Linked DNA regions of Xenopus tropicalis. The protein of the gene in region 4 purifies or fractionates together with the protein of the main gene of each other region. This does not show direct contact. Links are inferred from orthologs where the notes say so. Each region holds a gene or a part of one and is shown on either strand. Other genes may lie near its edges.

Region 1 (4,298 bases), on a different chromosome or scaffold from region 4:
ACAACTGGGGTTGTGGTGCCTAAATTGGTAGACCTGGTTGGCATTAGACCCCCCCCCCAGTCCAATGCCTACTAGCAGGGCCAATGATTTGATCACACACTAAAGGATTTTAAAGTTAATCATTTGATTTTAAAGTAAACTTAATAAAGGTATTTTTAATAGGTCTTAGCTGGTGTGCCTTGACAGGTGTCTAACTATAGTGCGAGGTTAACTTCACTATTAACACTAAAGGTGGGCACACATGGGTCAATAAAAGCTGCAGGCTTTGGTTGGTATTGGCCAACATATGAGGCCCTCCGACGGGCCTACTCGACTGATATCTGGCCAAAAATAGGACAGCTTTGATTTTCACATGGGATAGAGGACCAGACGTGCACGTTGATGAAGTCCTCAATCTGACAGTCTGCATAGGAGCAATTATGATCCAATCATTTGGCCCGAGGGCCAACCAATCAGATGAGTTCAATATTTAATTGTGTGACCACCTCGCCAACTGAGCGGATCTTTCAATGCCTGGCCTGCTTTAGGCCTGTGGGGGCCAATCAGATGAAGACTGCTTCAATGCACCTTGTCTGATGGAATTTTCAAACCTGTCCGACTGCTATTTGTATGTATGTATGTATGTATAACTTTATTTATAAAGCGCCACAAGGGTACTCAGCGCTGTACAGTCTTACAGAATACACAATTACACACAGGGAGGACAAGTGATATAATAAATAAATACAATAAATACATATATGTATATATATATATAGGAACAGGTGAAAACAGGCACTCACGTATAATGAAGTAATAATTTGCCTGGGTGCAGTATAAAGTGAGCATACAAAATTAGAAAGAATATGCTGCACACTCAGGTCTTAGATGCAAAAAACAAAAAAAAATTTATTTGGATCAAGGATCGAGTCCTTGATCCAAATAAAAAAAATTTTGTTTTTTGCATCTAAGACCTGAGTGTGCGGCATATTCTTTCATTCTTTCTAATTTTATATATATATATAAATGCCATGTGGTATGAGAAACAGTAGGAAGGAGGTCCCTGCCCCGTAGAGCTTACAATCTAAGTGACAACATACACAGCTTTTATGGGCCCATATAGGGCCACTATTACTTAGCCATGTAGTACCTACATGCATAAGTGTCGCCTGTAACATGACAGATGGTTAGGGAATGCACTGACAGCGTCCCCCCGCTGGCACAGTAGTGGAATGGATTTGCCCTGTGGCTACTGAATACTTTCCATTCCACTAGTCAAACGGATTTCTCACTCGCCCATAGTTGTAGAGCGCCAAGGTTTCGTCACCGAGAGGGGGTGGATCTATGGCAGTTCCCAGTTTGGCCGCCTGGGGCCGCTGCATGACCGTACAGCGGGGAAGGCCGCGCTTATTCCCATAGCCGCTTCCATTGGAGCTGCCGGAGACAAATTGGCGCCATTTTGAAGCTCTGGGCAGGCTGCACGGAGCGGGATAACACGGACGGAGAGGAGAGCGGGGAGTCGGAGCCGGAGGGGAGGGAGTACAACGTACTGGCGAGCGGCAACATATAAAGGTAAGACATACGGTGCCAGGGCCGGCGGGCAGAGGCCTGTGTTCCGGTGAGCGGCCTCCCGGCTGAAGGGAACGGTGTGCGGGGGATGCGGGGAGCGGCCCGGGGGTACGGAGCGCTGTGCTGCCCTCACTCAGTGCGGGGAAGTTGTCTGTAATGCTGCGCAGTCATGCTGTTATGTACAGCGCCATCGCTGGCCCCTCCTGTCGCTGAACTACAACTCCCAGCATCCTCCGGCAGCCCAAGCCTGCCCAGGGGTCGGGGGGCGGGGGGAGAGGAGTATAGTTTCAAGACTGCTGATCACAAAGGCACTGGGTGCCCGGGGGTGCCCTGTATTGTTACTGGGTGCCCTGTATAGTCACTGGGTGCCCGGGGTTGCCCTGTATTGTCACTGGGTGCCCGGGGTTGCCCTGTATTGTCACTGGGTGCCCGGGGTTGCCCTGTATAGTCACTGGGTGCCTGGTATAGTCACTGGGTGCCCGGGGTTGCCCTGTATAGTCACTGGGTTGCCCTGTATTGTCACTGGGTGCCCGGGGTTGCCCTGTATTGTCACTGGGTGCCCGGGGTTGCCCTGTATAGTCACTGGGTGCCTGGTATAGTCACTGGGTGCCCGGGGTTGCCCTGTATAGTCACTGGGTGCCTGGTATAGTCACTGGGTGCCCGGGGTTGCCCTGTATAGTCACTGGGTGCCTGGTATAGTCACTGGGTGCCCGGGGTTGCAGGGCATATATATTCTGCCTGGATATTAGATGCCCAGCCTCTCACATTGCTGCTGTATGACTGGGCATGCTGGGTAGTTGTAGTTCTAGAAGTGGAGTGCAGGCATTCCTGGCCTGGATTGTCAAGATTCTAAATAATTAAAGGCAGCCATAACCCAGAGTGACTTTCCCTTTAATAGCTGTCCCAGTGTGGGTGCTGTACATTTGTCTGGCTGTGGGTGCTGTACATTTGTCTGGCTGTGGGTGCTGTACATTTGTCTGGCTGTGGGTGCTGTACATTTGTCTGGCTGTGGGTGCTGTACATTTGTCTGGCTGTGGGTGCTGTACATTTGTCTGGCTGTGGGTGCTGTACATTTGTCTGGTTGTGGGTGCTGTACATTTGTCTGGTTGTGGGTGCTGTACATTTGTCTGGTTGTGGGTGCTGTACATTTGTCTGGTTGTGGGTGCTGTACATTTGTCTGGTTGTGGGTGCTGTACATTTGTCTGGTTGTGGGTGCTGTACATGACTGCCTGGGCCATGTATGACTAGAATGCCAAAAACCCACTGGCACTGTTCTCCTACCTACTGCTCACCCCCATTTCTGTTCGGATTAGAAGCTTTACTTTGTGGCCCTTTGTAGCTATTTGATGGTTGCTGCGGCTGCATCTCCTTACTATATACTTTATGAATGGCATTCATTGGCTGACAGCTGACACAGGTCATTGACACTAGGGCTTGTGTGACACTGATATACTAGTGCTTGTCTGACTTATTTACCACTTGAAGCCCCGCCTCTTTGAGGGTCCAATCTTTGGCTGGGGGCCCCTTAGCTCATGGTTACTGATATAGGAAACCTTTGTGTATGAGTTTAACCATCTAGATTGGCATTCAGGTGTATCTAGGAGATCAAATAGGCTTTCCCTCAAAATCTTACCCTCACTTGCATTGATACTGAGCCCCTGCTCCACAGTTGGGCGCTAGTGATGCTTGGGCCAACAGTTTTTTTTTATTTTTGAAAGCCCGAGGTCGTGCTTTCTTCCTAAGTGCAAAAAGTGCGAAAAGTGCATCGTGCAAAAAACACACAAAAGTGCACAAAGGGTGCGTTTAGCTGCTAGCCCCTAAAGGGGCAAAGCTGCCATACTCGATTCCCACGTGGCCAAAAGGCTCGGCGAAAAAAGAGTCTTCGAACCCTCCTTTGCCGAAGCTAGGGAGGGTCCCTTTACATCCCCGACCCCCGGACCAAAAGGCTCACGGGGGCAAGGGTCTTCGGACTCTCCTTCGCCGCAAGGCTAGGGAGAGTCCCTTTCCTCCGGAATCCGCCGAAGCTTCCTCCGAGGTACAGTCAAGGCCGAAGTCTTGTCTTAGGTCGGGGAGAGACAGGAGCCAAAAGGCCACACAGTCCTCCCCTTGGTCCGTGGGGCATACCCAAAAGGGCAACTGCACCCTCAGAACCCATTCGAAAGGGTCACATAGAAAAAAGTGCAGTGACAAAACAAGAAGTGAATAAATATAAAATAAGAAAAAGAGTGCCGTGTATACGGCCCCAGCCTGACGTCCGGAATTTTAAAAATTTCTCTCTGCTCATCAGCCAAAAGGCCGGGGGCAGAAGGAGCGAGTGCAGCATAAAAACTTAAAGTGCCATTGTGCAAAGTGCTGTACTAGTGCAGCGTGAGCCACCACCTCACTGTGCTTGTTCGGGCACCCTGGGGTCGCTACTCCCAGGGCACGGCGCACCTCGGGCTTTCATGCTACCGGCCCTCTGGCCAGAGGATCATGGTAGACTGTCTTATATAGGGGGGGAGGAGAACCCCCTTAAGAACAGATACTACACTTGATCTTAGCCAAAGGGCCGAGAAGCGAGAAGCTTGGGCCAACAGTTACTTGACCCGGGGAAAGCCAAACCTGCCCCGTTTCGACCCGACCCACCATACTGCAACTGTTTACATAACTGCGCCCGACTCCCCCATCTCTAGATGTCACAGGAGGGGATGGGCACAAGTCTATAAAAGGAGTTAGACCTGGAGATAAATGGAGAAAAGAGATTGGTGGGG
Region 2 (4,367 bases), on a different chromosome or scaffold from region 4:
CCTACAAAAGATGGCTCTCACCATGGCACCGTACACAGACTGGCATCTCACCTGTACCCTGGGCACCCACAGACTGGCTCTCAACTGGCACCACAAGATGGCTCTACCTGACCCCTGGCAGACCAAGACTGGCCTTCCCCCTGGCACTATCACAGACTGGCAATCTCACCTGAACCCTGGCACCCACACAGACTGGCTCTTACCCTGGCACCCAACGACTGGCTCACCCTGGCACTAACGACTGGCATCTGCACCCTGACCTGGCACCACAAGACTGGCTCATCACCTGGCACCACCGACTGGCTCTCCTGCCCTTGCACACCAATGGCCTTCTCACCTGACCCCTGCACCTACAGACTGGCCTCTCACCCCTGACCCTGGCACCAACAGACTGGCCTCTCCCCTGGCACCCACACAAGCTGGCACCACACAGACTGCACTCACACAGCTGGCACTCACAAGACTGCCTTTTCCCCTGGCACCACACAGATGGCACCCACACAGTGGCACCCACAACATTGACTGGCAGCAACAGCGGCACCACAGACTGGCTCTCACCATGACCCTGGCAGCCAACAGCTGGCCTCAACAGCCTGCACCCACAAGATGGCACCACCAGGCTGGCACCCACACAGACTGGCCTCTCACCTGACCCCTGGCACCCCACAGACTGGCCCCACACAGCCTGGCACCCACACAGACTGGCCCCACACAGACTGGCACCCACACAGACTGGCCTCTCACCCTGACCCTGGCCCACACGAGCTGGCCCAACAGCCTGGCAGCGCACACAAGACTGGAACACAGCCTGGCACCCGCACAACAGACTGGCTCTCCGCCTGACCCTGGCACCACAAGACTGGCTCTCCCTGCCCTGCACCACAAGACTGGCTCTCAACGCCTGACCCTGGCACCACACAGATGGCCGCTCTCCCTGGCCCCTGGCACCCACACAGACTGGCCTCTCCCCTGAACCCTGGCACCACCGACTGCTTCTCACCTACCCCCTGGCAACACATGACTGGCTCCACATCAGCATGGACAACAAGACTGGCACACCACACAGCTGGCACGCACAGGCTGGCCTTCACCTGCCCTGGCACCAACAGAACTGGCCCACAGCTGGACCCCACAGACTGGCCCCACAGCTGGACCCAACAGATGGCCTGCTCACCTGACCTGGACCCCAACAGGGACTGGCCCCCACAACAGCTGGCACCACACAGACTGGCACCACACAGCCTGGACCACACAGACTGGCTCTCACTTGAACCTGCACCCACACAGACTGGCTCTCCTGACCCTGGAGCCCAGACTGGCTCGTCACTGACACCTGGCACCCACACAGACTGGCCTCCCCCTGACCTGGCACCAACCAGACTGGCCTCTCCCTGACTGGCCCAACAGATGGCTCTCACCTGGACCACTGGCACCACACAGAGCTGGTCTCCCATGATCCATGGCACCCAACAGACTGGCCCCCACACAGCCTGCACCAACAGACTGGCTCTCCTGACCCCTGGCACACACAGACTGGCTTCACCCTGACTCTGGACCAGACTGGCCTCTCCCCTTGAAACTGGACCCACACAGATGGCTCTCACCTGACCTGGCACCCACACAGACTGGCTCTTCCCTGACCCTGGCACCCACACAGACTGGCCTCTCACCCTGGCACCCACACAGACTGGCCTCTCACCCTGACCCCTGGCACCCACACAGACTGGCCTCTCCCCCTGACCCCTGGCACCCACACGACTGGCTCCCCTGACCCCTGGCACCCACACAGACTGGCCTCTCACCCTGACCCCTGGCACACACAGACTGGCCTCAACAGCTGGACCACACAGACATGGGGCAAAAAAAACCCACACAGCTTTTGGCACCACACAGACTGGCCTCTCCATGACCCGTGGACCACACAGAACTGGCCTCTACCCTGACTCCTGGCACCTTCCACAACAGACCTGGCCTCTCCCCCCTGAACCCCGGCACCCACACGACTGGCTCCCCAAGACCTGGCACCCACTACAGACGGCCTGCTCACCTGACCCTGGCACCACACAGACTGGCCTCCACAGCCTGCGCCACACAGACCATGGGGCAAAAAACCCACACAGCCTTTTGGCACCACACAGACTGGCCTCTCACCATGAGACCCTGGCACCACAACAGACTGCCCTCTTCCCCTGACCTGGCACCCACATACAGAACTGGGCCTCTCCCCCTGACCCCTGGCACCCACACAAGACTGGCTCTCTCCCTCGACCCATGCCCCACAGTACTGCTCTCTCCCCTGACCCTGGCACCCACAAATCACACACATCATCACGACCTGGCCTCTCCCCTGATGGCACCACAGCTCGGGCCAAAGCGCCCAACAGAGATGCACAAGCTGGCCCACGTGCTTCCCGCGACGCCTTGACCCAACCTGCTGCCTACCTCACCACACAGAACTGGCCTCCTCACCTTGACCCTGGCACCCACACAGACTGTGTCTCCCCTGACCCCGCACCAGCACACTGGCATTCCCACCCTGGCACACACGATGGCCTCATGATGACCAAACACAGCTGGCTCTTCCCACCCCTGGACCACAAGACTGGCCTCCACCCACCCCGCACCCACTGGCCCCACATGGCACCAACGTCTGGCCCCAACAGCCTGCCCAACGACGCTCTTGACACGCCTGCGCACACAAGCCTGGCATGCACAACATCACGTTAAGAGTAATTAGAGGTTACATAATGAGGGATGGGGATATTGGGAGCTGAGCAGCAGGGGGGCCGCCCTACCCCCCCCGGGACCCACTCACCAAGGATCCGGTGCCATAGTGACGACTGGCCGCTGCCCCACTTCCTGTTTGTGTCACATGTGCGACGGGAGGGCAGGAGGGACAATAGCGCCGAACGCTTCCTGGTTCCGAACCCTGTAGCGTATGGTTGTACTACAACTCCCAGAATCCTCTGCTCCCCCCGCCCCTACATCACTTCCCACTCCCTGTGTTATTGTTACGCACTGCCTGCCCCTCACCCACAGAGCTTACACTCTTATTTGGTGCTTGGCTCACACCCTGCCCCACAGCTCAGCCCCAGGGCTCCTCCTTTCCTTTAGTAACAGAACCACTGTCCCACAGTGATTGGATAGGAATAAAAACACTGGGAAAATGGGATTATAGTAACCCTGTAACAATGGTTGCTAGGGTAGCACTTACCATAGCAACATGCAGTGGTTTGAATGACAGGGTTGGGCCCAAGACCCCAGGAAGGGGGGCCTGTAAGGGTGGCCCACGAAGACCCCAAGTCCAATATTTTTGGGCCTGGGGGGCTTTTTGTTTGTGCCTCTGGTACTGGGAATGCCAGGGGGCTGTAAGGTGCCACAGACAGTCACTATTTATTGGGCTGGGGGGCTGTTTGTGCCTCTGGGTACTGGGAATGCCAGGGGGGCTGTAAGGTGCCACAGACAGTCACTATTTATTGGGCTGGGGGGGGGCTGTTTGTCCTCTGGTACTGGGAATGCCAGGGGGGCTGTAAGGTGCCACAGACATCACTATTTATTGGGCTGGGGGGGCTGTTTGTGCCTCTGGGTACTGGGAATGCAGGGGGGCTGTAAGGTGCCACAGACAATCACTATTATTGGGCTGGGGGGGCTTGTTTGTGCCTCTGGGTACTGGGAATGCCAGGGGGGCTGTAAGGTGCACAGACAGTCACTATTTATTGGCTGGGGGGGCTTTTGTGCTCTGGGTACTGGGAATGCCGGGGGGGCTGTAAGGTGGCCACAACATCACTATTTATTGGCTGGGGAGCTGTTTGTGCTCTGGGTACTGGGAATGCCAGGGGGGCTGTAAGGTGCCACAGACAGTCACTATTTAATTGGGCTGGGGGGGGGGGGCTGTTTGTGGCCTCTGGGTAACTGGGATGCCAGGGGGGCTGTAAGGTGCCACAGACAGTCACTATTTATTGGGCTGGGGGCTGTTTGTGCCTCTGGGTACTGGGAATGCCAGGGGGGCTGGTAAGGTGCCACAGACAGTCACTATTTATTGGGCTGGGGGGGCTGTTTGTGCCTCTGGGTACTGGGAATGCCAGGGGGCTGTAAGGTGCCACAGACAGTCACTATTTATGGGCTGGGGGGGGCTGTTTGTGCCTCTGGGTACTGGAATAATGCCAGGGGGGCTGTAAGGTGCCACAGACAGTCACTATTTATTGGGCTGGGGGGGCTGTTTGTGCCTCTGGGTACTGGGAATGCCAGGGGGGCTGTAAGGTGCCACAGACAGCACTATTTATTGGGCTGGGGGGCTGTTTGTGCCTCTGGGTACTGGGAATGCCAGGGGGGCTGTAAGGTGCCACAGACAGTCATATTTTATTGGG
Region 3 (4,162 bases), on a different chromosome or scaffold from region 4:
CCAAATACAAACACTTTAAGACAATGGGGGTGTGGGCCTGTTTTCAAATATGCTACGGTTCACAATAAAGCTTATTTTTTATATATATATATATATATATATATATATATATATATATATATATATATATATATATATATATATATTATATATACACATACATACATATACACACACACACACAGCCGTAGCAAGAAAAATCCCCATTTGCATAGTCAGTGACGGTTTCTCGGTTTCATGCTAGCCAGAAGTCTGTTGGGAAAGTAACTGGAATCATAGTTAAGGCTAGTCAGAAAGCGTAGTTTATGGGGTCTCTGTGCTTCATCTATTCCCACATAGATTGGCACAACTTTTACAGCTTCTTGATCTACATAGTTCACCAGACTCCATTCAGAGACATTATTGAACCAAGGGTCATTCAGGGAGGTAGCTGACACAATAAGGAATGATATTCGGCTGGACTGGATAACATTAGTGGTCCAAGCAATTGCCTGTGTTCCAGCAGTTTTATCCCGGTGCTCATCATAGCCACGGTAGCAATTCTGCTCTAGCATGCAGAGTATTTTGGCAGCCACATGGGCATCATCTAAACAGTACCACAGGGAGAAGTCATATAAGTAGTTAGTGGCACACATGTTGGATACCTAAATGTCATGTGCATTATCTGTGGGCAATGTTCTAATGACATCAATGGCCTTTGATTCAAAACATGCAAATTAAAATATCTAAATTATTTGTAAAGTATTATCAGAAAGCAGGGTCCATCTACTGATAAATCTTCCCCAAAACCACTTGTAGAAATTTCCTTTGGAGATATTCACACGTCTATTAACAGAAGTCAGCAGTGCTCCAGTAAAGTTACTGTTTAGTATTAAATAGTACATTGTAGACAATGTAGTGAATCTACATCAGCATGCTGCTAATCTTTGTGACCAAATGTGCATTACTTAAAGATCAGCACATGGGTTATTTCACATGGTAGCCTCTCTCAGATTCTCAATGTCCTCTTCTAGTTTTTCCCCTGCAGACCTCAGCACATCACATTTTGCCTTCAACTGGATCAGAGCTTCCTTTAGTTTGTTGTTCATATCCACATAATTGCAGCTCTGCCAATACTGCTTCTCCTTTTCACATAAAGTAGCATTATTGGAAAGCGAGGAATCTGTAAGACAAAAATGAGTGTCATGAAAACAAGAGGCTGACTTAACTATTACAGATATGCCGTGGTTTTGTATAATCTATGCTGAATACAGGGCAATTTTAGACCCTGGAACATGTATGTTTTAAGAATTGTTATATAACTTATGCTGAATACAGGGTAATTTTAAAATCTGAAATGTGTATATCTTAAGAATTTTTTGTAATATATGCTCACTATATAAGGTACAGCATTAACCCTGCACACTGTATATGAGATATGCTGTTTGGTTTAAAAGGGAAGTGACATCAGCACACAATGCCTCCTCTGATGAAGCACTTTGTGCGAAACGCGTTAGGAGAGGCACTAGGATGTACCCTGTCACTGTGTGGTATAGTATACATTTGAATCTGTTTTGTATTATGTTTTGAGAAAATCTCTGAGCCATTAAAATGTGGTTTTATTTTCACTGAATTTTTTGCTGTTATTTGTATATTGGTTCAGGGCCTATCAGTGAAATATAAAATGTGATTTCCTTTCCTAATTTATATTGTTGCAATTAATTATGCCGAAAATCAACCAGCATTACTTACCATCACTGAAGTCACAGATAAACACTGGATCAGAGGCTATAGCCCCATGGACATCTTGGAGAATTTGCTCAATGCTGGGTGGCTCAGGTCGGGTGGGAAGGACAATTCGCTTCTTGGCTCTGGAGGTCATAGCCAAAAGTTTTCAAAAACGAAAGAAAGGTTCTTCCCTAACTGAAAGCGGAAAAGTAATTAAAAATATTAATAAGAAGATCAAGTTTTTTTTTCCTGTTTGCATTGTGTCATAATTATTGGACAAAATACATGTTTTTGAAAGGAACTAAGGAATATATCAATTATATTTGTTATTTACATCTGGGAAAGCTTGAAAGAACTGCCACAGGTCTCTGTCTCTCTTGGAGTGCAGAGACCTGCAGCCTCTCCCATGAATAAAGGACTGCCTATGTTTAGCAGTGCTGTATTTATGGGGATGCAAGGCATAAGGGTTTCCTGCCTTCTAAAAAGGAAAATTTTATTTAAATAGAAAGGGAACCTGTGTATCAGTTACTATTAGGGATGCACTGAGAGATTGACTATGCCACTTGATGCTGGTGTGGTTGCTGTAATGCTGCAGGCGATATACATTATGTAGCCTTACAAAGAATGGAAAAAATGTGTCACTAAAGGTGGCCATACACGTGGCGATCTGGCGACCATCGGTCGCACGAAACATCGTCAGATCCGCCACACACCGTCAGGGCTGAAACAGCAGATAAGGAGGTAGAAACAATAGGATTTCTACCTCCTTCTGCCGATTCAGCCCTGACAGCAGATTTTGGTCAGGCTCCTTCTATGGCGCCCGATCAAAATCTTTTAACCGGTCCGACCAGCGATATCGGTCGAGGTTTCGTATGATATTATCAGTGCGTGTATGGCCAGCTTTAGTGCTGGGGTAGGGTGATAGAATGTAAAAAAAAATGTAAGCATCAACAGCAGGGGAAAACAACACTCCTACCTGCACTGCTCAGAAACAAACCAATGTAAGGAAACTGCATAGAGTATATATCCCTTAAATAAAGTATTTTTACAAGGCAAACATTTAACATAACTAAGTCTGTAAAACACCTGAGCACGAATTCCATAAGTAAAATATTCACATTCCCCTGAAGAAAGAGAACAGTTCCAGACAAAGAATAGAAACCATAAGTAATAAGTTAATCATAACATACTTAGCAACCAGATCGTTTAGAAATGACGTTCCAGAGACCAGGCAAGGGAAAGGTACACCGGCTGGACGCCACCACTACACAGTAACCCCCCCACCACCAAAGCTTCGTCAGATATGACATCATCAATAAGTGACCTGGCATAACAAGGCACTCTGGGCGGAAAGGTAAGATCTCATTGGTTATGACAATTGGCAATCACTGGAAGGTTCCTGTCTAAAACGAAGCAGTTACGGTATGTACTTGCGACATCTAGTGGTGAAACTATGCAATTGACACAGTCTTGTAAAGGGGCATAAATATTTAGTTACATGTTTATGTTAGTGTATTTACGAGAACAGCATACAGCGCCTTTATATCGTAAAAAAGTCTTTATTGGATACCCAGGGCTCGGTTAGTTTATTTTATAATAGGCATTATATTTCCTCCACTAATAGGATTCCCAAATCCATATAATGCCAGATCGTCATGTTTTGAAGGTTTCTTTATATGATTTCTATCAAATTACGTCACCTATTAAAGAATCTTACCAAGCTGGAATATATATCAGCTTTGCTAAAGCTGCCAAATGCTCACTGTGCACACACCCATGCTCCCTTTAATGTCACTGAATGCCTACTGACAATGCATGCATTGAATTTGATGGAGAAACTGGAAAACCCAGGGGAATGGCGTATGGTGACCAGAGACAGGGCATAGGCAGTCCACATGACATGACATGTCAGAGAACTATACAGTATATGTTGTGAAGTACTGCAAGAGATGAAAAGAAAATTTGCTATACTGTTTCCTACTTCATCATAAATGCTCCTTTCTATCAGGTATTTTACAGTGGTGCAGTATAGTGACCAGTCAATTATTTCATGATATCTGAGTTATGCATACAGTGGAGGAAATAATTATTTGACCCCTCACTGATTTTGTAAGTTTGTCCAATGACAAAGAAATGAAAAGTCTCAGAACAGTATCATTTCAATGGTAGGTTTATTTTAACAGTGGCAGATAGCACATCAAAAGGGAAATCGAAAAAATAACTTTAAATAAAAGATAGCAACTGATTTGCATTTCATTGAGTGAAATAAGTTTTTGAACCCTCTAACAAAAAAAGACTTAATACTTAGTGGAAAAACCCTTGTTTGCAAGCACAGAGGTCAAACGTTTCTTGTAATTGATGACCAAGTTTGCGCACATTTTAGGAGGAATGTTGGTCCACTCCTCTTTGCAGATCATCTCTAAATCCCTAAGGTTTCGAGGCTGTCTCTGTGCAA
Region 4 (3,674 bases):
GTCATTTACATGTATTATTCTTCTTTAAAATGTATTTTTCTGGCAATCAAAACATTAATAAATATGTTATTACAACCCTCTGTGCATTTGTTACAGAATCATTTTTATTCTGTCATAAGATTTTGTAAAGAAAGAAAGGCAAGAGGCAACAATTCATCAAAACTTTGAAATTGAAAAAAAAAAATGCATATTTTATCTGGTATTTCATTGGAGCCACATCCAGAAAAATACAGGATTACATTAAAAAACACAAGTATATACAGCCTAATTATACTATTGTGTGTTTTTGAAAAATTGGTGTCAGAATTTAATGCTCACAAATGAAATGAAGGAACAGTCACATCCCCAAAGAGATCAAATAAACATAACAGGTGGCCTGTTATCCCAAGAACAATATAATAAGGCTGCAGAGTTAGCGGACAGGAATTCCTAAAAGTGTTGCTTAATAACTGGGTATCATACTCTTGTTTCACAGCAGTTGCACAATTCTGTGGTGCAAATCTAAAATGAAGTGCACTCCTTTTTGCTGAAAAAAGTTGAGGTGGTGAAAAATGTCACCTGAGGAGCATGTAGTTTTATAGGCATATTAAAGGTGGATGTGTAAAAATAAAAAGGCACACATTATTGTCTGGCCATAGACAAAGCCTGTGTGTATGCCCAGGGTAAAAACAGCAGCAGTATCAAAAGATTTGCTTATTTTGCTATAATGCTATATGCCTATTTAACAGGCTGTGACACTGATTTAAAGTGCAACTGTCACTATTGTAAAAAAAAAAAAAAAAAAAAAAAAAATTGAGAAAAATGTAGTGGCTGTTTTAGTTACAGCTGTTTATATATCTAAAAAATTGTGAGCTGCTAAACTTACAGTGAGTGAGTTACTCAGATTTCACCAGGTGGAAATGCAATGGCCAGACCTTTACAGTATCTGCCCAAAGAGCCTGTGGGCCAAATGTAATGATACCAGACCAGCAGCCATACTTCTAGCAACGTAGCCAATGTTCTCTACATTCAGAATGATCTAAATGATCACAAATGTGCTGGGGTTCTCCCTGCTTTTACTTGCTTTCCTGTGCCAATAACATTCTTAGTGAAGGGGCCCCCCTGCAATCTTGAGGCTCGGGCAGTATATATGGAATTGGACAAACTGCCTGATCAAATCTGGGCATGTGAACAACTTACTGATTCCAGCATTAGTGAGCAATTTGCACTGACATGGTTGGTAGAAATTTGGCAGAATATCAATGTCTACATCATAATAAAAGGGAACAACCCCTTTGAAACTATTTCTGGAAAAAGTGGTTATTTAGAAACCACTAATTAATTTCTTGTCAATATTTTAGTGTTTCATTATTTGGAACTTCTCAAAAAATAACATACAGGGTTGGAAACATGTGCAGTTTATGTAATTGCTTTTATGATCCAGCAGAAGTTATTTTATATACACGTAGTGATTAAAATATAATTACATTTATTTAAAAAGTTGCTTTGCTGTACTTTTGAATTAGCTCAGACATTTTTATTCCAAATTCTGAATTTCTTTTGTTTTTCTTTTCATATTTGACGTTGCATTTCAGCTAGGCTAACAGCATGCTGTCACTTTCCACACAGGAGAGATGTGCATAGAAAGGCTAGAGAACGGAAGCTCTACTCACAGGAAGCCTAGTGGCAAGTGAATGAAGTCTTGTATAAATAAAATATAAATAAATACAGTCCCAAGTTACAGGCACTTTCAGAACGGCTGCAGACTCATGGGTCCTGAGAAGGTGGAAGAGGAACCTCTGGCGATGCCAAACGGGCTTGGTATATTTAGAAAAACAAAAGGAGGTTATAAAGAAGAAGAAAGTCCTGTTAAAACCATGTCCACCTAAATTATAACCTAGGTAAGTACCTGGAAAAGAACTTTTGTCATAAACCTTTGCAACCTAAATCAGGAGTAACATCCTGCCTGCTTTATGTGGCTTCCCTTCGCTTTTTACCTCAGTCTATTCTAATTAGATCTTTCACATTTAGAGCCAGAACATGAAAGACTAACAGCAGCAATGTTGTGTCAGTTTCAATCTATAAACAGTAGAACATAAGTGCAAAGTACAGAACACTGATAAGGTGACAACTTTTCTGCTTCTTAAAATGGCAACAGCAGCTTATCACATACACTTGGTTCAAAATCAACACCATACTGTTGTATTGGTACCAACAAGAATTCTGTTCCTGTGATCACTGATCATCCAGTCACATATACATGTAAACTTAAATTCTAATCTGAGCTCTGCCAGTAAGCCAGAAATCAGCAAACTATTTAGGATTGTAATACGCAGTAACGTAATGTTCTCTTACTGACCCACTCTAATACTTTGCACAATGCTTAATACCAAGGAAAGTGGGATGATATTTACAATACTATTGGCCATGCAGTAATTTAGTTTTCAGTGGGAGGAAACCATAATACCCCTATATGAAAGTCTACATGAAATTAATGGGGTTGTTCACCTTCAAAATATCTTTTTGTATGTTGTAGAGAGTGCTATTCTGAAACAATTTGCAATTGGTCTTCATTTATTATGCTTCATGTTTTTTTTAATTATTTAGCAGCTTTCCAGTTTGGAATTCTAGCAGCTATTTGGTTGCTAGGGTCCAAATTATTCTAGTAACCAGGCAGTGGTTTGTAAGAGAAACTGGAATATGAATAGGATGATAAGTAATAGAAAGAGTAATAGAAAGTAATAATACAATGAAATTGTAGCCTCAAAGAACAATAGTTTTTTGGCTGCTGGGATCAGTGACCCCCATTAGAAAGCTGGAAAGAGTCAGAAAAGGAAAGCAAATAATTAAAACTTGATAAAAAAAAAATGAAGACCAGATGAAAAGTTGCTAAGAACTTGCCATTCTTTAACATACCAAAATTTACCTTAAAGGTGAACCACCCTTTTAAGCACTTCAACGCAGATTGTGAAAATGGCACATAGAAAACTAGCTTACCCTTAAAATATGGCAATCTATGCAATTGCTTTGCTTCAAATAACATACTGTTATCCATGCCATGGGCTTATTGTGCTATAGCGTAAAACATGAGGTTTATGTGCAAACTTGCTTAACTCTGTAAACATTTGAGTTGTAGGTCTACACGGCCTCAGCAGAATACTGCAGAGAGAAAGGTTATTCTCTTTTGGTCTATAAAGATTCTAGATTCCAATAAGAAAATGTGCTTCTCCTTTATATATAGAGACAGAGAGAGCAAGCCACTGCTGCTTCATAGTAAGGATTTTAAGGTTAACATGTATTGCTCTGGGTGTCCTACACCTAGTGTGTCAGTTGTAAGGCAACAGTCCATGGGACTTAGGCATTGGAACAGTCAGTGCAACGGGTGCTCTCCTCTTGCCCGTAACTCTGTATCTGAATGAAGCATTTGTACATTCCATGTGTTTTCAGCAGTACATGTCTGGCTTTATTTTGCACTTCCTCCCACTTTGATGAGGCATCAGGACCTGATGGAAAACATGAGTGGTTAGAAAAGTAATTTCTCCAGCATTATCATGATTTGCTTTCTTCCTTTGATTTTTTTCTAGGTTTTTGCAAAGCACACTATGGTTATAAACTAGAGTTTAGTTCCCTATTTGTCCCCACCACATATGACAGATATGCACAGAAATACTACAGTTAATGATAGTGGCCATGAA
Region 5 (4,246 bases), on a different chromosome or scaffold from region 4:
CGATCAAGGAGGTTTAAGCAGCTAATAACGTCATACTGGAATCCTGTGCTTTGCCATTCATCAATATTAAGCACTCTAGATATGAGAAAAGAATTCATTTATGTCAGGGACAAACAGGTTACAGTTTTACCATCTATATCTCAGGCATAACAGGCATTACTGTGTAAAACATGCTTATAATATCTATATGTCCCAGAATAAGTATCATGAAGAATAAAAAGAAACTCACATACTTATTCCCTTAGCTGAGGGGGTTGAGGCAGATCATATTATTGTATCTTAAGACTTAAAGCATGGTGCCAAATAATAATAATACATCTCTATCAGTATTTTGGCAGCTCCCTCTCATATTATCATACTGCTTTTACATCTAATATTCACAGTAGCTGCTTACTACCATATAAGGGACATCAAATTATTAATTTATTGCACCTAAGCAGACTGTCTAAGCTTAGCTGGCTGAAGTAAATTTTTGTTTAGGGATCCTAACAGCTTTCCATGGCTTTCCATGGTATCCATACAATGCCCAGGAACCAGTGCTCTGGAAAAAAGAAAATATTTTTTTCCTTAAGAGATTAACGTTTTCAGCAGTAAAAACTCCCAAACTTTCTTCTGCAACCATAATAATCAGAACTGGTAGCTAAGTTCCTGCCCAACTTCCTGAATTTAAGCAAAGAAAAGCCCAACATCCAGCGCTGCTTAAGTCATAGTCTGAAGCTCCAGGTATCAGTTATACCCAGATAATTGGTTCCTTCGGATGATGGATACGCATTTTAAGGTAAACTAGTAAAAAGGAGATGTTTCTCTTTAAACTATACACTTATCGAGGAACAACAGCAAACAACCAGTGATCTCTAAGTGTTCCATACACACCTGATACAGAATTTGTTTATATAACTGACCTGTACTTTTTCTTTTGAAGTTGCCATATCATAGTCTGAGACATTTCTGTAACATAGATCTCTTCAAAATGAGGGCTCATTACTTTAGTCACTTCCCCATCCCCTGCACCTAAATCCAACAAGCGATGTGATTTCCACTCGGGGTCAATTTTGAGAAGCCTTTGGAACTGTTCTGGTGAAAACACAAACATTGACCCTCTTCCAAGCAACCTGCAAAGAGAGGAAAAGGCTAGCTGTATGTACCCAGGTTTGACCAATTTTGACCATACTGCCTGACCATCAGGGCATGTATAGCAACTATTCAGTTTCAAAAAATGTATCTGTTCAACCTGAAAATTTCACTTTATTGGTGGTAGATAAAGAAGAAAGAGCTGCAGACACTCTTTACTCCCTGACAGATCTGATTGATCAGCCTGTTGCCTTTGACATGTGGGCCTGACAGTTGGGTACACTGAAACTTTGTTGGGCCTCAGATTACACCACTCATAAGTTATTTAACTTATTTATTATTCGTAGCCAACTACATTTTTATCCCATTTTCAATAACTCTACCTAAGTCTGAGCTTCCAAGAGACAGTGTTTATTACCAATGTCAGTAAAATTATATGGATACGGTATATGGTAGCTTATGCTCAGTTCTGTTTATTTTTGTTATTTTGAGTAACATTATACACATAAACATTACATTGCAAACTAGTGGTAACAGTTATATAATATAATATAATGGTGCAATTCTAATATAGTAAATTATGGCATTAAAGATAAGATACTATCCTTTGGGTTATTTATTTTAATGTTACAATGGGTGAGTGAACAGAAATGCATATACATGACAGCACTTCTTCATATACAAGAAGTAAAGAACTTACCCATTGATTGATGTTCTGGACATAAACATACTGAACACAGAGGACATGAAGGAATGGTAGAGCTGAATGGAAAGCCAGCCAGATTTCTCAATACTTCTGTTCAGGAATGTCTGGGTTCCATGGTCTAAGTAACTCTGGATGAAAACCGGCCGAAGGCAATCACTTAATTTTTCTGTGTCGCAAAAGTACCACTGCAAAGGAGGCACAAACGTTAATGTCCAAATCTAAAACAATAAACCTATTGTAGCAACTAAGCAAACTGAAAGGGGCATTATACAGAACTTCAGATTTAGGATAAGAGTTTTTGTCTACTAGGCAAAATTTTAATTTTGAATTTACGTGCCCTTTAAAAGCTGCTACAATGAATTCACCACCCCCCCTTATTTCAGTGTACTATCTGGTTGTTCTTATGCACCTTGCCATTCTACCACTCCTAATCTTTTCAGTTTCAAAATCCCACGCAAGTTGTGCCCAAACAAGCAGTGCGAGTTGAGAGATGGCAAATCTACATCAGGCTTTTAGATATTTCTAGATTACAAAGCTCAGTTCTGACAAATGTAGGGCACCGTATCTCACTTTAACAGACCTTTACATCTGGGCTTTCATTTGTATCTAGGCAAGCAAATCAGTGTGCTCCTCAAATCTTGACCTAACTTGCCAGCATGCTGAGCCCCCCTGCCACTGTTCCAGGCCCCACAGTTTGGGAAACACTGCCATAGGTTGCTGATCTCTGAACTAGACAGAAGATGGGGGTGCTAATGACTGGACACCTGAGGGGTTGGGGGGGGGGGGGCTGATTAGTGTACTAGGTGTGTCACTACTTTCCTGCCCCCCACCAGAGTGACATTACACACCTGCTGATTCCCATCCCAGTACGGGGCCTGGCTGTGGCTCATCATATTCATGTACAGGGATCTGCTGAGGTGACTCCTCAGGTACCGGCCACTCCACATCTTCCTCAGCCCGGCCAGGCAGAGCAGGTAGCTAATTATCCAGCACACGAACAGTTTCATCTGAGCAGCGCCCACTCACTTCGTCCGGGACCGGAGCAGGCCATGGCCCAGCGGGATGTACACATCAGCCTGAGGAGTGGAATACAAGAGAGGGGTGGAGAGAATGGAAAAATAAAGAAAGGAGCGGAACCTGTGCAGAGGAAACAGTGTTTCCGCCCGGACCTCATTCCTTTGCTGCTCACAGTGCACAAGCGAGAGCTCAGATCAGCCGCTCTAGCACGGCCTTTTCTTCTCTATCATGCACGGTCCTGGGATCCAACGAGAAACTGCATAACCGCGTATTCAGCTTCTCATTGGTTTATAGACTATATGATTAGGCTGAGGATGTGTGAAGGGACAGTTTTTAAGAATGGAAGGGCATGTGCTCTGCCTCTGGGCAGTGGGGAAAACTGTAGGTAAAAATGACATATTGCTGGATGTACATGTCCAGTTATCATTGAGCTATAGTGGGTCTGTCAGTGAGTAAGTATGACTGGCCAGATTTATGTGAATCCACCTGAGGTAGATGGAGGGTTGCCAACTATTTCAAGGGAAAAACTACAGTCTTTCTATTATTTTTTTCCCTATTAACAACATTGACATAAAGCATGACTTTTACTGGCCAGGCTTGTAACCTATCATAGTGATGTGCAGGCCGGCCTGAAACCCCTGGCCCTGTGGGCTTGGCCCAATACTTGCACAACATATCAGGACACGTCGGATGAGTGGCTGGATGATGAATAGGAGAGGGTCTCAGTAGAAAGATAATTAATAAAAAGTAACAAACAATAAAATTACAGCCTCACAGAGCAGTGGTTTTTATTAGGTGCTGGGTCAGTGGAAACCCCCCCCATTTGAAAGTTAGAAAGGGTAAGGCTTTCCCATTACTTTATGGCAGAAATGGCACTGGATCTCACACTACAATATTTACTCTTAATATTTTCATTTCTCTATAAAAATAGAATTTCAATTGATCTGGAGAAACTTGTGTCAAAATGACACTGACAGGTGAGAACCCGCTGGTCTAGGCCCATACTGGCAATCTGTGGGTTCTGGCAAATTCCAGAGGGGCTGCTGAAAGATGCCATAGTCATGTATTGGGCTGTTGGGAGGGCTGTTTGGGCCTTTCTGTACTGAAATGCCAGGGCCTATTTTAAATCGCAGTCCAGACCTGCACTGGTCTACAAGACTTTCCCCAATTTGCAGGAAAAACAGCCTTAGTTAACAAATCATTGACAAGCCTTTAACTAGCCCTGGGTCTCTCATGAGGAACCAAGAAATGTATGACTCAAGTGGGACAGTTTGGAAGTTAGGAGCAGATAAAAATACATATAAAGAAAAACACAAATACGCATTGCTAACTGACAAAGACCTTTATACTAACACCAAAAATCATATAAAAAAAAAATCAAGATACAGAAATAATATCCAAGACACAACGTTTGAACATAGCTATAGATAATATCCTAGACAACTATAGTAG
Region 6 (4,471 bases), on a different chromosome or scaffold from region 4:
GGACTGCTGGGACCAGTGCACCTAGCAACCAGAGACAACTGCAAACTTTCTGACTGGAGAGTAGGAGGGTTAAAAAGGCAACTAATTAATAATTGCTATATGAACACTGAGAAAAACACAACTGCTTACATTACTTCTGTCTAAGACATCTCATTAAAAGGTAAACTTCACCTTTAAAGTTTTTCTAAACCGAGTCCCAACAAAATAAATAGGTTGTACACATTGGAACAGAAAATCCAGGTAAGGGTAAACACTGGCAACATTTGGGTAATTCAAGCTCAATGCTGGTTATACATTATCAGCTGGATAAGAAAGAGGAGATATTCTGCCAGGTTTCTGCCAGGCTGTCAGTCCAATCTGTTACATTCAGTGGGCTGTAGGCAGATATAGTGGTATGAGGGGGTGTAATTGTAATTATACAAACACAACAGAACTCAAGATCAGAAAGATGCTCACAGGACTGGTGTTGCTGAACAGCAACTGCTGAAACTATAGTTAATGTTATAAGCAAACTTTTACCAGGGTGATTTATAATAACTGTCAGGCAGTTACTCACATTGTGCCCAGCTCAAGTAGCACATCAGGTACAACACTATGTGCAACCTACACGCTGCCAGCAAAGTGTTACCTAAGCAGTTTGATAACACACAATATTGTCACAATAAGAAAAGTACATACTGCACATACCTATGTGCCCAAAATATCAATTGGGCACTGCAAGCACTCTGGCACAGATACTCTAGTGATTGTAAATTATCACTCTCACAGCCCCTCGGCCTCAGCAGCACTCTCACAGCCCCTCGGCCTCAGCAGCACTCTCACAGCCCCTCGGCCTCAGCAGCACTCTCACAGCCCCTCGGCCTCAGCAGCACTCTCACAGCCCCTCGGCCTCAGCAGCACTCTCACAGCCCCTCGGCCTCAGCAGCACTCTCACAGCCCCTCGGCCTCAGCAGCACTCACACCCACTGAAAGCAGAGTAAAGGAGGTTTCACCATTAGCACCTAAAGGGGTCATTTTGTTGTAAGGGCAGTCACGTACTGACGAGTAAGGGTGCTGATGAGTTGCAATTAAAAGTTAAATACAATATAAGTTTCCAACAATCACTTGTAAGTGATTCAAAGTGCTGCCCAACCCCCAGGTACATAGAGGAACATGTCAGGTTGAACCAGCAGCTGGGGAGTTTGCTTTCCTTCCTCTGGGTCAGTGTGTACAGAACTGCATCAGCACTTGCCCCACCTGCATTTACATTTCTGTCATTGTCACAGCACACTCCCGGCAAACTCAGCAGCTCATACACACTCAGTGTACACATGGATCAGCAGACTAATGCAATAGGCATAACGTACCAGCTGTGCCCAGCTTAACTAATGCCATAGACACAATTACATCAGACACACATCACAACGCAAAGACTGCTCACCAGGCATATACTGTAAACAAAGCAGGCCAACCACACACGGTGTATACACAGTACACCCAATGCCCACACACACAGTACCCCAGGCATGAACTGGGAACCCAAAGTACACAGAACACACAGACTGTACATAAAGAACCCAAGGCATAGAAAGGGTACCCACAATAGTGCAGGCACAGAGTAATACAGGCAGGCACAATGAAACCACAGTGCCCCCATGTGTAGTGTACTCACAGTGCCCCCATGTGTAGTGTACTCACAGTGCCCCCATGTGTAGTGTACTCACAGTGCCCCCATGTGTAGTGTACTCACAGTGCCCCCATGTGTAGTGTACTCACAGTGCCCCCATGTGTAGTGTACTCACAGTGCCCCCATGTGTAGTGTACTCACAGTGCCCCCATAGTGTACCCACAGCGCCCCCATAGTGTACCCACAGCACCCCCATAGTGTACCCACAGCGCCCCCATAGTGTACCCACAGCGCCCCCATAGTGTACCCACAGCGGCCCCATAGTGTACCCACAGCGGCCCCATAGTGTACCCACAGCGCCCCCATAGTGTACCCACAGCGCCCCCATAGTGTACCCACAGCGCCCCCATAGTGTACCCACAGCGCCCCCATAGTGTACCCACAGCGCCCCCATAGTGTACCCACAGCGCCCCCATAGTGTACCCACAGCGCCCCCATAGTGTACCCACAGCGCCCCCATAGTGTACTCACAGAGCCCCCATAGTGTACTCACAGCACCCCCATAGTGTACTCACAGAGCCCCCATAGTGTACTCACAGAGCCCCCATAGTGTACTCACAGAAGCCTCATGTGTAGTGTACTCACAGTGGCCCATAGTGTACTCACAGTGGCCCATAGTGTACTCACAGAAGCCTCATGTGTAGTGTACTCACAGAGCCCCCATAGTGTACTCACAGAAGCCTCATGTGTAGTGTACTCACAGTGGGCCAATGTGTACTCACAGCGCCCCAAGGCATACACAATCTATTCAAAGTACCCAGCCATGGCCACATTACCCCAGGCATGCATGGTATATCCAGCACCCTAATGTGACCCAATGTAACACAGGGACACAGCACCCTCACTGTATTGTACCCACAGCACAATAGGAACACAGAGGGTAAATAGAGCACCCAGCACTGCAGGCATATTGTCTGCCCCCCAGCACATCACAAACACACAGTGTAAACACAGTACCCACACTGGTATCAGAACCATGCAAGTTCCATCAGTAGAGCATGAAGACAAAGTAAAAGCCCTGGCAGGAATATACATGGCCAGCTGTGCCAATGCTCCCTGTCATCCTAGGAAGCAGCCCAGTGTCTCCCACTCCCCTACTGTACAGCCAGTGAGACCCAGCACCGCACACACACACATCTATATAACGTACAGCTTGTAAGCAGCCACCCACTCCCTTCCCAACCCTCCCTGCGAGCATCCCCAGGCCGGCACAGCCGGTACCTTATGTCTCCGGGAGCCTGTAGGATAGCGGTGCTTGCAGAGCAGACAGGAAGCCGAGCTCCGGGCGGAGAGCGCTCAGATACTGGCAGCCAGGCAGGGGCAGGAGGAGGGAGCGGGCGGGGAGGGAGACAATGCGCAGGCGCAAAGCGAACAACGGGGGCGATACGGAGGGGCGGGGGGGACAAACGCAGGCGTCTACAGGATGCCCTCTTGCCTTACAGCAGGGGCTCATAGGGACCCACACACTTTGGGCGTCCGCTCTTCAAAGTTCAGGGCTACGGGCACCCTTAGGCTCAGAACCTTTTGTAACTGGGTGCCACCGTATTGAGATACATTGCTGTGTACCGCTGGGTGCTATGGGTGCTAGTGGAGCCGGGACATACCCTCCTGCAATTGGGCTACAGCAGGGCTGCTTCCTTCCGTTTCTATATTACTTGTGCTTATAGCCTCCTATATACTGTCATAGCTATACACCTCATATACCTACATACTGTACCTGCACCACTCATCTATAGACATACTGTCATATCTACAGGCATTATACCTTATATACCTACCTACATACTGTACCACTCATCTATAGGCATACTGTCATATCTACAGGCATTATACCTTATATACCTACCTACATACTGTACCACTCATCTATAGACATGCTGTCATATCTACAGGCATTATACCTTATATACCTACCTACATACTATACCACTCATCTATAGGCATACTGTCATATCTACAGGCATTATACCTTATATACCTACCTACCTACTGTACCACTCATCTATAGACATGCTGTCATATCTACAGGCATTATACCTTATATACCTACCTACATACTGTACCTGTACCACTCATCTATAGACATACTGCCATATCTACAGCCATTATACATTATATACCTACCTACCTACTGTACCACTCATCTATAGACATGCTGTCATATCTACAGGTATTATACCTTATATACCTACCTACATACTGTACCTGTACCACTCATCTATAGACATACTGCCATATCTACAGCCATTATACATTATATACCTACCTACATACTGTACCGCTCATCTATAGACATGCTGTCATATCTACAGGTATTACACCTTATATACCTACCTACATACTGTACCGCTCATCTATAGACATGCTGTCATATCTACAGGCATTATACCTTATATACCTACCTACATACTGCACCGCTCATCTATAGACATGCTGTCATATCTACAGGTATTATACCTTATATACCTACCTACATACTGTACCTGCACCACTCATCTATAGACATAATGTCATATCTACAGGTATTATACCTTATATACCTACCTACATACTGTACCGCTCATCTATAGACATGCTGCCATATCTACAGGCATTATACCTTATATACCTACCTACATACTGTACCACTCATCTATAGACATACTGCCATATCTACAGCCATTATACCTTATATACCTACCTACATACTGTACCGCTCATCTATAGACATGCTGTCATATCTACAGGTATTACACCTTATATACCTTCCTACATACTGTACCGCTCATCTATAGACATGCTGTCATATCTACAGGTATTACACCT
Region 7 (4,238 bases), on a different chromosome or scaffold from region 4:
ACAAATGAAATAACATAATATAAACAAAAGCGCTGCTAAAAAATATTATTCTCAACAGATTATTGTTGCATAATGTTATCCTACTTTGTTTTATAATGTATCTAATGTGTCCTTTCAGGTTTGTTTTGTTCTTTGAAGTGTGTCTGGAACTTTCATTTACCTAAATAATTCCTGTCCTTTAGGCATATTTTTAAGGAAAAGTTCATTACTTGGGGGGTATTAAACAGATAATCTGACTAAATACATTATTTTCCTTAAAAAGAAAATATACCCCACTTTTTGATAAACTTATTCAGTTGAGCATTTATAAAAAGGGTGTGTAAACACTACCTTATTTTAAGTAACTATAAAAATAAGTTCATATAGTGTTTGATAAACTTTTCTACATAAGACCAACTGAATGGCTTATGTTAAAAAAGGCAGCTGAATTTACAGGACAATTGCTAGCAACTAGGTTTTGACTCAACAAAGGTGTATTTTGTCTATTCAAAAAAACATAAATAACTGTAAGGCACAATGGTTAAATTGTGATTCCCACAGTTTGCAAAGTATGTGAAAATGCCTTTATGTGACAGTGAATGGAAAATGCCACAAGTAAAACATCTGTATCATGTAATCACACAAAATTGTCTTTGGGCTTATTTTAACCTAATTGTGCAATCTAGGCCATTTCCGTTCACTGCCGCAGAAAGGTATTTCCAGGTGCTTTGTTGTCTGCAGATGACAAAGTACCCCATGTGCCATCACCCACACAGCACAAAGAAAACATAAGCATTGGCTGAATCCAGAACTTACCTAAACTAGAAATCAAATTAATGGTTTTCAATGTAATAGCAGGACTGGTGTTTGGGTCTTCGAGAAGCTCAACAAGACTGCTCAAACATTCACTTGGTAATATTTGATTGGATGCAAACAATTTGTTCAGGTTCAGTCCAATAATTACCTTTAAAGATATAAGGCAAACATATCAAACTTTCTGTTACCTTGCATGGATGGATCAGATACATGTTAACAGAGCTTCTATAATTTTACTAAGCAATTTATAAGGGATGTACCAAAACCAGGATTCAGTTTCACGATTTAGTTCAGCTCCTAATGTTCAGCTGAACTGAAGTGACTTTAAAGAAATGGACAGCTGAAAGTGACATATGCAATTTAGGGTCCTTAAAGGAGAAGGAAAGGCTAATATAGTGTTAATCTCAAGTTACAGGCATACTTTCAGTTCTCTCAATAGTGCTCTTAAGTCTTCCCATACTTTGCCTGTTCAGATGATCAAAAGCCTCATAGGGAAAAAAAAAACCCGAGCTCTGTAAACAAAATTCCCATAATGCCTCGCTCCTGCACCAAGACCCCTGTACATGCGCAGTTTGTAAGACGTTGAGGGAGCTTCCCACTGATTGGCTCAGATCACACATTCCTAAGGGGGGGAGGAGGGAGTTCTTAGCATTCTTATAGAGAGGGAGGCAGGAGAGGAGAGAGCTAAGCAGACTCAGGGCTCAGAACAGCATTTCTGTAAGTGCTTATGGCTGTATTTACATAGACCTTTCTGATAAAGCTTACTTAGTTTATACCATTCCTTCTCCTTTATTTGGCTCAGCCTTAGCCTTTCTTTTGGGCAATCTAGGTGCCTTGATCAGTGCTCCTGCCTGTGATTATTGACAGCAGCCAAGAGTCAAATTTAGCTGCCCTTCTAAGCACTTTGGAACAATACTCACATAGCTTACAGGCATCTGTAGCAAGATGCATTGCTTCTTTGGAAACAAAGCTTTTTCAAAATTTTGAGACTTTAGTGTGTAAGGGTGTACTAAAGCCCAATGGAAAAAAGAACAACTAAAACGTAAAAGGAACCTTCATCCAACTGTTATTGCAGTTGCTACCAAGGGTTCTGCCAGAATTATCCCCCCTAGAGGGGTAGTTCACCTTTGAACAACCTTTTAGTATTATGTAGAGTCATACTTTAATACTGAGACAATCTGCATTCTGTATTCATCTTTTATATGTTGCAACTTTTGAATTACCAGGTTGTTAGGGCTCAGTTTACTCTAGCAACCAAGTCAAGGCTGAAAGATAAATAGGAGTGGGCATGAACAGAAACATAACAAAAAGTAACAGTAGCCTCACAGAGCAAAATTTTTATGGTTGCTGGAGTCAAAGATCCCCATTTGAAATCTGGAAGAAGGCAAAAGGCATGCTATACCATACTACAAGTTATCTTAAAGGTAAACTACCCCTGGCAACTGTACCAATGATCTACAGCTATTAAGCAATAATTGTACATACTAAACAGAAATAAAAGAAATTAGTGTTGCTGCTGCACAAACCCTGTTGAATTGTGCAGCATATGGGTTATACATTTAGTAAGCAATGGAGGAGTTGGCACTCCGAAGCAAGTTGCACAAGCCAGTGGACCATCCCATGGAATCATTTCTTTCATGTCAAATACAACTTAGAATCAGCATGCCACTTTCACAGTATTTTTAGAAAAATTGTAGCAAACACTGGTTTATATATTGTAAAATAAACTATATAGGGTAGAATGAAATATGAGATATCTACTTATTTATTCTTGTTCCAGCTATTGCAACGCACAGGCAACACAGAGCTAATGATATGGCTTCTCACCTCCAGCTGCCGATGTAGCACTCCCCCGTTACTGTCACTCTTACATGTTTTGTACTGCGCTACAGCCAGTAGAAGGCTCTTCATACACGACGTGGCATCCATAGCCCTCACAGACCCCGGTTCAAAACTGACTCAGAACCAAACCTGAATGTACCAACACTGGCAAGTCAGATTTCGCGCCCTAAGCTTTCATTTTGGTTGAAGCTAGGATGTGACGTCGGATGTGGAGTCACGACGGTGGCCTGATTTGGACAGAATATGACGAAAGGCATACTTGTCAGGTGCTGGTCGAGCGAAACGTACTAGTCCGCGTAGAACTAACTATATTGTTGAAGTATGTATGCCAATATATCACTGGTGCAACTATAGAAGGAGTCGCTCATCCGCACCCCTCTTTCGTTTACAGCAGGGTTGCCAAATTGGGTTACTAATTTAAAGTCCTGGCGGATTCCAAAAGTACAAACCCGCAAAGATACAGTTTTGGGTTATTTTTTGGAGCCTTGGTGGGTTTGTTGTTAGGAAACTTGCCAAAGTTTTTTTTCCCCCTAGTGTGCCTGTTTCACTGCATGCTGGGTAATGTAGTTTGTATCTAACAACTAGCCTACAGCTAGGATTAATATAAAACTACAATACCCAGCATGCAACTGGTATAGACAGAGGCTACGTTTTGTATTCCCTTTTAGTCTTTCAGGCTCAACCTGTATGTTCTGCAACTAGCAGCTCTATAGGGTATGTGATTGTACTATTACTTTCTACTGTGATGTGGGGGCAGTTCTGCATTTGGTCCTTAAGCTATACCTCTTGGGATACTTTGGGGCTTCTGAGAGTTGTAGTTTAACGCACCCATATGTATATCATGTCTGGGGTTAATGTAACAGAATGTAACAGAATCTATTTCTGTAGTGACTTCCCAGCTGGACTGGGCACAGAGGGCAGGGAATTATCAGCCATCCCAGTAACTGGGTAGCATTTTTGCATTTTTCATTGCACATATTGGGCTATTTTTGGGCTACTTTCAAAGAGGCTTTTGGCTAGTTTTGGGCTAGTTTTGGGCTGGTTTTAGAAGTGACTTTGGCTAGTTTGGAAAAATAAATCTGGCAACCCTGGTTTACAAGTACATTTAAACTGTTAGAAATCTCTACATTCTACTCAGGCAGCCAAAGTATGGCGATGTGCGTCACAGCGTGATGCATGCACTCCTTTGTAGCCGCCAATCTAAAAAGTAGGAATAGAGGGGGTTGTACCACAGCGGAAGGGGTGCAAGTTAACCCTTTTTAATGGTGTTTCACCTAAGATCGGGGCTGTAGTCTTTCTCTGTTGCCAGTGGTCCTTAAAGTGGATATATAACTTGGGTGTATAGGGAAGACAGGGATATATGTTTTTTTTGTATCTTCAAATGCTGTAAAGTAAGCCATATTCCGCTCACTTGTCTAGTGCCCATATGTCAGTTATGTGGCTCCCTGAATGAACAAATTCATTAATAAAATTAATAAACATTGTCTTCTTTAAGAAAACTCTACCCCCAAAATGAATACCAATAGATTTTTTATATCATGTTATGTATGTATGTATGTATATCTTTATTTATAAAGCGCTACTTATGTACGCAGCGCTGT

The links.
Region 1: the proteins of slc30a4 (region 4) and pds5b purify together in Homo sapiens (affinity purification with mass spectrometry; 3 studies listed by BioGRID and IntAct, counting the BioPlex papers as one, with this or other methods). This does not show direct contact. The link is inferred for Xenopus tropicalis from reciprocal best matches to the Homo sapiens genes SLC30A4 and PDS5B.
Region 2: the proteins of slc30a4 (region 4) and stx8 purify together in Homo sapiens (co-immunoprecipitation; 3 studies listed by BioGRID and IntAct, with this or other methods). This does not show direct contact. The link is inferred for Xenopus tropicalis from reciprocal best matches to the Homo sapiens genes SLC30A4 and STX8.
Region 3: the proteins of slc30a4 (region 4) and c19orf25 purify together in Homo sapiens (affinity purification with mass spectrometry; 3 studies listed by BioGRID and IntAct, counting the BioPlex papers as one, with this or other methods). This does not show direct contact. The link is inferred for Xenopus tropicalis from reciprocal best matches to the Homo sapiens genes SLC30A4 and C19orf25.
Region 5: the proteins of slc30a4 (region 4) and mettl9 purify together in Homo sapiens (co-immunoprecipitation; 3 studies listed by BioGRID and IntAct, with this or other methods). This does not show direct contact. The link is inferred for Xenopus tropicalis from reciprocal best matches to the Homo sapiens genes SLC30A4 and METTL9.
Region 6: the proteins of slc30a4 (region 4) and fut8 purify together in Homo sapiens (co-immunoprecipitation; 3 studies listed by BioGRID and IntAct, with this or other methods). This does not show direct contact. The link is inferred for Xenopus tropicalis from reciprocal best matches to the Homo sapiens genes SLC30A4 and FUT8.
Region 7: the proteins of slc30a4 (region 4) and cip2a purify together in Homo sapiens (affinity purification with mass spectrometry; 3 studies listed by BioGRID and IntAct, counting the BioPlex papers as one, with this or other methods). This does not show direct contact. The link is inferred for Xenopus tropicalis from reciprocal best matches to the Homo sapiens genes SLC30A4 and CIP2A.

The regions. Positions count from the first base shown.
Region 1 is NC_030678.2:153,121,013-153,125,310, reverse strand, and holds the start of pds5b (sister chromatid cohesion protein PDS5 homolog B), read left to right. Parts: upstream 1-1,467; 5' UTR 1,468-1,551; intron 1,552-4,012; exon of another isoform or gene 4,013-4,108; intron 4,109-4,298. UniProt on the Homo sapiens protein: Regulator of sister chromatid cohesion in mitosis which may stabilize cohesin complex association with chromatin. May couple sister chromatid cohesion during mitosis to DNA replication.
Region 2 is NC_030686.2:49,415,969-49,420,335, reverse strand, and holds the start of stx8 (syntaxin-8), read right to left. Parts: upstream 2,848-4,367; 5' UTR 2,833-2,847; coding exon 2,816-2,832; intron 1-2,815. UniProt on the Homo sapiens protein: Vesicle trafficking protein that functions in the early secretory pathway, possibly by mediating retrograde transport from cis-Golgi membranes to the ER.
Region 3 is NC_030677.2:99,423,973-99,428,134, reverse strand, and holds the start of c19orf25 (UPF0449 protein C19orf25 homolog), read right to left. Parts: upstream 2,949-4,162; 5' UTR 2,898-2,948; intron 1,903-2,897; 5' UTR 1,862-1,902; coding exon 1,732-1,861; intron 1,163-1,731; coding exon 972-1,162; 3' UTR 147-971; exon of another isoform or gene 105-146; 3' UTR 1-104.
Region 4 is NC_030679.2:104,579,777-104,583,450, forward strand, and holds part of slc30a4 (zinc transporter 4), read right to left. Parts: intron 3,483-3,674; coding exon 3,334-3,482; 3' UTR 1-3,333. UniProt on the Homo sapiens protein: Probable proton-coupled zinc ion antiporter mediating zinc import from cytoplasm potentially into the endocytic compartment. Controls zinc deposition in milk.
Region 5 is NC_030685.2:25,157,005-25,161,250, reverse strand, and holds the start of mettl9 (methyltransferase-like protein 9 precursor), read right to left. Parts: upstream 2,883-4,246; 5' UTR 2,785-2,882; coding exon 2,626-2,784; intron 1,963-2,625; coding exon 1,772-1,962; intron 1,113-1,771; coding exon 903-1,112; intron 76-902; coding exon 1-75. UniProt on the Homo sapiens protein: Protein-histidine N-methyltransferase that specifically catalyzes 1-methylhistidine (pros-methylhistidine) methylation of target proteins.
Region 6 is NC_030684.2:119,798,972-119,803,442, forward strand, and holds the start of fut8 (alpha-(1,6)-fucosyltransferase), read right to left. Parts: upstream 2,928-4,471; 5' UTR 2,888-2,927; intron 1-2,887. UniProt on the Homo sapiens protein: Catalyzes the addition of fucose in alpha 1-6 linkage to the first GlcNAc residue, next to the peptide chains in N-glycans.
Region 7 is NC_030678.2:103,690,074-103,694,311, forward strand, and holds the start of cip2a (protein CIP2A), read right to left. Parts: upstream 2,804-4,238; 5' UTR 2,725-2,803; coding exon 2,623-2,724; intron 944-2,622; coding exon 796-943; intron 1-795.